Canis lupus familiaris: one gene and its partner. The protein of the gene in region 1 purifies or fractionates together with the protein of each later gene. This does not show direct contact. Links are inferred from orthologs where the notes say so. Each region holds a gene or a part of one and is shown on either strand. Other genes may lie near its edges.

The links.
Region 2: the proteins of SNAP25 (region 1) and STX12 purify together in Homo sapiens (co-immunoprecipitation; 3 studies listed by BioGRID and IntAct, with this or other methods). This does not show direct contact. The link is inferred for Canis lupus familiaris from reciprocal best matches to the Homo sapiens genes SNAP25 and STX12.

What each region holds. Positions count from the first base shown.
Region 1 is NC_049245.1:12,539,705-12,543,628, forward strand, and holds the start of SNAP25 (synaptosomal-associated protein 25), read right to left. Parts: upstream 2,806-3,924; 5' UTR 2,642-2,805; intron 2,501-2,641; exon of another isoform or gene 2,459-2,500; intron 2,370-2,458; exon of another isoform or gene 2,074-2,369; intron 1-2,073.
Region 2 is NC_049223.1:71,943,769-71,947,297, forward strand, and holds part of STX12 (syntaxin-12), read right to left. Parts: intron 1,499-3,529; coding exon 1,426-1,498; intron 725-1,425; coding exon 642-724; intron 1-641. UniProt on the Homo sapiens protein: SNARE promoting fusion of transport vesicles with target membranes. Together with SNARE STX6, promotes movement of vesicles from endosomes to the cell membrane, and may therefore function in the endocytic recycling pathway.

The DNA of each region.
Region 1 (3,924 bases):
AATGCAGAAAATGCCAATGCACAAACAAGCAGGTACCATCAGAGGATCTACGTGAATGTTTCCTGGCACATCCTTATGTCCATCTGCTCCTGCCTCTTCTTGCCGTATTGCCCTGGATGTTTAAAATTTAAAATAGAAAATCTCTTCATTTTTTCCCGAAAAATTTAACATTCAATAACATGAATGTTAAATTCATGCTTCAATTATGTTTTTCTTTAATTTCTCAGTAAGCTGTTCTAGAATTAGCTCCGTAATTGTGCACATTGCCACTTCTTTCCAGATCTTTACCCTTTGCCAGCTTCACTGCAGTCTTCTACCTCCACCCCCCTAACCCCCATTTCCCCCAGTCTTCCACTAGCAAACAAACCCAGCAGTAATTACTAATGTCCAAGCACGTAATTCTGGCACCGTTAGGATTTTTTTTTTTTTTTTTGACGCAACTACGCAGAGCTGTCTGGACATGCAGCATGAAGTCAAAGCATTTTTAAAGACTCCTACCCATCTTTTCTCCCCTCCTCCTATCACTAAAACACAGTTGTTTATTTCGTTTGCGGATTGCAAGGTTATAAAATTCTTCCATGGAGTTACATAGCCCTGAATATTAATTTTACACCCATATACAGTAACAGATAAATATGTACTTATATGGAAACACATAGGTTATCCATAAAATTGAAAAACATTAGGAAATAAATAGCTAGGAATGAAAGTACCTCCTCTATATGGACAGGACCATTTTAGCAGCTCTAGTATAGAAATCATTGGAGTTATGACTAACAAAAACAATCCAAGATCTTAATGTGAGGCTTTTCAAAAGATCATGACAGTGTTTCTTTTAATGCGTTGCATAGATTCCTACATATGACGCTGTTACTCTTATTTAACAACTATTCAAATAGTACAGTTTTGCGCCTGGTATTTTATGACAATTTTAGTTATATCAAACAACAGGAAATATTCCTTGGTAATTTTTGTTCACTCAGAGGCCCCAAGGCTCAGAGTAGAAAATGATTAAAGTACTTATCACTGTCTCAGCAAAATCCCGCAGTGCCGTAATAGAAATTGCAGTAGATCTTTAGGTCAGAGTCCAGTTTCAGTCTAACACCTGCATGACCCTGAAGGACATAGTTGGATTTTGAGGAAAACCAGTCTTAATAATGTCCAGATCAGAAACTATCGGCCTGAGATAACCAATGTTCATAGGAAACACTTCCACTCCCTCTGAAACCATGGCAAAAGAGATTAAATCTATACCTTGTAGGACCTGTAATATTTCTGAGATGTATTTTTGTGAGTGTGTGCTTATGTACATGCCTAATTACAAGGATGGGAGAGAAGGAAGAAGAGGGCTTCATTCTTAAAGTTGATTCTGCTTAGTTTAACTATATATATATATATATATATATATATATATATATATCAAATAGAAATATATACAGAAATATATTACTCCTGTAAACAGATCATTTTGGTATCTTCATATATACCTCATTCATGCCCACCCAAGGTCTGCAGACAAATATACTCTGTGTTAAAAACAAAACCAAACAAAACCCTTGATATCTGACTGGAGGATGAAGCAGATTTTTCTTAAAAATGTGTTTACTTTCTACTTAAGAAAAAGGGACGAGGGCAACATGAGAAGTCTATAAGTAGACTTATTTCTTTTTTAAGCTATGCGGGAGCTGAGGATGGGAGCAGGTAATTGCCTGCAAAGCAGTCCTACGGCAGGATTTATTTTTTTCTTTTTTAAAATTGTTAACCTACTACGTCTTCTCTATCAGGGAGTCTCTCTGTGAGACCGAGGTCTCAGAGAGGCAATTTGGCCTCCAGCCCTGACCGGCAGCTCTGGCCAGGCAGCTCTGCGGCAGGTAGATGCGGCGAGGCTGCCGGGCCGCTCTCCGCGGTGCTGAAAGGTCGCGGGCGCCCGCGAGGGGCCTGGGCATCGCTGTCCAGGGTGCTGACTGCGGGCCGCCGCAGTCCCCGAGGCGAGCCCACCCCCGCCAGCCCTCCGCAGAGCCCTCCCACACAGCATGACCCGCCCGCCTCCCGCCAGCCTGCAGTCGACGGGGAGCAGGCGGCATAAATCAAGTCCGCGGGGCATGGAGGCTGCTGCCGCTGCTGCAGCTCGGCTTGCCCGGGGCGGGAACTCCCCCTTCTCTCGCCTCCCCAGCGCCCACGACCTGCCTTCTCCCTAATTCTTCGCTGGATAATAGCGCCTGAACGACAATAGTCAAAATAACAGGGTCAGAACGACAGAGTTTGTTTTGGTCTACCGGGGGAAAAAAAAAATCAAAAAACCAGCAGCCTAAACATCTCTGAAAACTGCATCGCAAAATGGAAGAGAGTCCCACTACTGTTTCGAAAGAGTAAGTTATTATTCGGCATGTATCCTTGCGCTTCCTCCCCATCGCTCCATCTGCAGTGTCCCCATTCCTCCCTTCCCCAGGCGGCTCACCTCGAAAATACTTTATAAAGCCCCTAGACCGGAGCTATCCCGACGCGCACACACGGCATACCGCACCCTAGGTGCACAAATACTTGTATTTGCCCACGCTCACTTGGTCTCCTCGGCTGTGGTCCCCTCTGGGTATGCAGCCATCCAAAACCAGAACCACGACCTGAGGTGGAGGCTCCTTACCTTGGCTTCTGCAGAGGGTGGTGTTCGCCTGGCCCCTCGCAGGGTGCAAGTGTGGAGGAGCCGCCAAGCCGGGAGGGAAGGAGAGACAGCGCCTGACCTCTCCGAGGTTTCGTCTTCAATGCAACGTGAGCTCTGCCCTCATCAAAGATGGCCGTCCCTTTTGACGTCAGCAGCTTTTAATAGCCCTCTCCAGGAGGGGCGGGGAGGAAGTGTGCCGCGGGGAGCGCGGGGGGAGGATGGAGGTGGGAGGTGGGCGGTGGGAGGGGCGGAGCCGAGTTGTGCGGACCGCTTGACTCAGCTCCCTGTGCGCTTTCCTGCAAACCTTTGTATTTCAGTCTTTTATAAACACCTGAATGAGGCGATTCTTATGACTCCATCTTAACACCCGGTGTCGGGCAAATACATTTATCTCGCGACTAGTTTTCTGATATTCTTTGTGTGTGTGTATGTATATATGTTATCTGTGTGTGCCTATATTGTGTCATATCTGCGACATATATGCGATTATATAGAATTTCCCCTCCCCCTGCTGAGTTGTCTTTGGTTGAGTCATAGAAGGGGAGGGGAAGGCAGAAGAGTAGAAGTGGGGGAGGTAGTCGAGGGGATTTCAGCTGCAATTCGCTTTTTCTAAGGAAGCGGCTCCGAAGGGGCATCCCTGTCAGCCCTCACCAGCTCCATATATGGCCAGGCTACGTGGGCTGCTATTTTTATGAGTGATTTCTTCATTTTATCAAAGCAGCACCCAGCGTTTAGAGTTTGCATTAATGTGGTCAGTTGGGGAGGCAGACGCGTACACGTTATTTTAAAGTACGTCAGAGCAATTATCTCTGAGAGATACAGAATGAATTGGGCGGAGGGGGAGGGAGGGGTAGTTAACCTAACCAGCGTGGGTTTCCTGGAGTTCAAGGCTTGGAGTTGAGAGTTATTTGCTGAGGGCAAACTAGATGACGCTGTTTTCGGTTAAATATGCAACCAGAACCTGGGGTTTTATGTTGGGTTTCTTAGGAATAGTTCACGGAAGCGCGCACAGACCTTATGGAACCATCCAGACTTCCAAGGGGAGTGGGGAAGGCTGAGGATTCCAGGATCTCTGGGACGCTACAGAATTTTGGTGGTTCATTCCATGTGCAAACCTGGGTACCAGTCGAGGCTAGCCGGGGTGGGGGGGGGGAGTGCTCTGATGCTTAAAACGGCGTGGGCGAGAAAGGCTACCTGTGCTGGTCATATGAGAGATTAAAAATAATAACCATAAGGGAATAATCCTAACTGTCCTCCTTTGTTGT
Region 2 (3,529 bases), on another chromosome or scaffold:
CCTAGGAACATGGGAAATGACCGAAATGCTGCTTATTTCTAAAAAGCCATATAGCACCAAAGAGATGGGAAATGAAAAGGACCGCATTCACAATATTTGCAATACTTGAGATAAAGACCCAAGTAAGGGTCATAAAACCAGAGTTTCATCTAATATGTAAAAGAATATCACTTCTTACAACATAGAACAATTAACTTCCATTTATTCATAGAAAAATAACCTCCACAGGATAACTCCCTATTTATTCACAATAGCAGTTGGAATTGATTTTATGTCTATCCTCTATGGCTGTAGTCAACATAAAGTACCTGCAAAGTCATACTTTGTACCTATTCCTATACTAATTGAAACAAATTTTAGCTGTTAAGAATATAAAATTAGCCTTCTACCAGATTTAGGTACTATGCCAGCTTACGGGGTTAGCTTTGTAGCTGAGACTTCTCTGTAAATTTATTCAAGGACTGATATCTTTTTGTAGATCTCTCTGAAGAAAATATTAAAAATGGACTGGAGTGCAATTATGACCACCTGCCTCCAGCTTTAGCCTAAGCAAAAGGCTGCAGCTGCTCTCAATGTGTCAATGAGATGTGACAGCTCATGAAGTATACAGCACAGTGACTTTCTTTGGTAAGTGCTTTTACCTGATAGTAAGCAGCTCGCTGTAACTGATCCGTGGCTCTCTCTACATGTACCTCTGAGCTTTCCACATTGGCTTCTATGCTGTCTGCAAAAAACAAAGAAGGGCAGTGGATATTTTTTATCATAACTGATGTTTCAAGATTGTAAATTAAACATACTCCTTATGTCATTGGTCCTGGTTTCACCACCACCATTCCAACTAGCCAGCCATGTAATCAAAATTACTAACCGGGTAAGAGAATAACTCTGTTCTTTGGGAATAAAGGATTATGAAGTAGGCAACTCACCACAAAATGGTTCAGGAAAAATTATGTATACACATGTATATTTGGAGAAATATAGAGGGCAAATCTAAACCAAATGAGGGTAGAATGTTAAGAGGTAAATCTGGGTAAAGGTTTTAAGGAATTCCTTGTAGTCTATTTTTGTAACTTTTCTAACCTTGAAATCATTTCCAAATAAAAAGCTTAGAAAAAAAAGGTTACTAATCCCAAAATTGTGCAAGTTTCCGGAGATAAAAGCTGGGAAGACAACAGCTATTTCCCTAAACAGCCAAAGACCTAAAAAGAGGCTATGGCAAGTGAGCTGAGTAATCATGCCCATGTCACTAGTGTCTATATTTGACAATATAAAAAGGGGACTAAAAAATGAATTTTATAATTTTTAAATGGCATTCCTAAATTCCTAAGACATGTCTTACTGACTTCTTCACACCAAGAAGTTGGTACTTCTTCAGTACCAACTATCAACTCACCTTGAGGTTAAAAGTATCAACGATATACATACCAATTAGATCACCTTGATCATGGATCATCATGGCCAAATCTTTAAATATTTGATTGACATCCAAAATATCAGCCTAAAGAACACAAAAAACAATTAACATTAAGCAACACGTTAGACAATTCAATTCCTTCTACTTAGCTAAAATTTTGGCTGTAAACATAACACAGATGTTTCTAAGGCTTATAAATCACCCTTTCTCCATAAACTGAAAATGAAAATAAAGTTAATTAATAGCTACTAAATGCCTATTATGTGCTAAGAACTATACCAGGTAGGTAATTAAACACAGACTTTTGGAGCCTAGTAGAGAGGATCCAGAGTCTTGCTGTGTGAAGTTAATCTTCCACCGTCCTGTTGTACCATCTTAGGTTAAGAAACTCTCTGGGTTGCCCCCTCTAAAATGTGGACAATGACAGTACCTATCTCATACTAAAGCGCAGAAGCACTAAATAAATTGATATATTTAAAGTTCTTAGAACTGTGCAATAAGCACTTCCTAAGTGTCAGCTATTACTAATCATTAGTTGGTCCTCATGACAACACAATGAGACATATATTATCCCCATCATACACAAGAGAAAACTGGGGGGCAGCCCTGGTGGCTCAGCAGTTTAGCGCAGCCTTCAGCCCAGGGTGTGATCCTGGAGACCTCAGGATCGAGTCCCATGTCAGGCTCCCACATGGCGCCTGCTTTCCCTCTGCCTGTGTCTCTGCCTCTCTCCCTCTCTGTGTCTCTCATAAATAAATAAAATCTTAAAAAAAATAAATAAATAAGAGAAAACTGGGGCTCAGAAAAGTTTGATGACTTATCCCAAGGTCTCAAAGCTAGCAAGTGGCAGAGCTCAGAATGAAAAGTTCATGATGTTTTCATTACATTACTATGCCTCTTTGATAGTTACATTAACCAGCCACTCTACGAAGTCAAGTATCTTTGAGGATAATAACACTCAGGAAGGTTATCTACCTGTCTAGTCACAACCCTTGTCAGTGAAGAAACTAAGCATTGCAGCCAGAGTATCTCTAAAGCACTTGCTCTTGCAATTGAAATACACTGCCTCTTAGAAGGCTAGGATAAAAACAATGCCTTGAAAGCCACAGCTTCCCAACCATAACTTGGCAAGAGCTTACCAGCACATCAATTACCCACTAAGAGTCTGCTGGAATCAGGACAGTCTACTAGTTGCTTGCTGACTAACATAATAGGAGGAGTTGCTTGCTGACTAACAGGGGTGGAGTCAGTACACAACAAGATAAATAAGAAAAGTCATTATATAGAAGTGACTGGTAAATGGTAAAGGAAAGTGTGCACAGGAAGGCTTGCAGGAGAGGTACAACTTGAGGTATACCTTACAGCAAAAGAGAAGCCATATAAACAAGCAGATGATTGAGTTAAAGAGCAAACAGCCAAAAAAAAAAAAAAAAAAAAAAAAAGAGCAAACAGCCCAGCTTGGATGTAACATGCATGTGAAACTGGGATTTATAAGAAATATACAGGGCGCCTGAGTGGGTCGATCAATTAAGCATCTGCCTTTGGCCTGGGTTATGATCCTAGGGTCCTAGGTTCAAGCCTCACATAGAGTTCCCTACTCAGCAAGGAGTCAGCTTCTCCCTCTCCCTCTGCCCCCACCCCCAACCCGCTCGTGCTCTCTTCCTGGTTCTCTCTCTCTCAAAAATAAATAATTATATTTAGTCTTCATCCCACTCCTGGAGCAAAGATCCTAAATTCCTTGAAGTTTCCTAAGTGGTAAAAGAAAGGAAACTATCTTTTGGTGCTTCTAACAAATCCTGTTCAACCACACTTGAAGTTAAAGAACAAGTCTTTTGGAAAGCCTCTGTTATCAGAGGGCTAGAGGCTGAAATCAACCATCAACAGCCAGATTTAATCCATCGAGTCCCACATTGGGCTCCCTACATGGAGCCTCCTTCTCCCTCTGCCTGTGTCTCTGCCTCTCTGTGTGTGTGTGTCTCTCTCAGGAATAAATAAATAAAATCTTAAGAAAAAAAAACTTATGGCTATTCGTCCATTTCTAGCCTAGAAAAATAGGAATTTCACAGAGCCTAAAATAACAGTTGATGAATGAGGGAGAACAGCTGAGTATCTGGA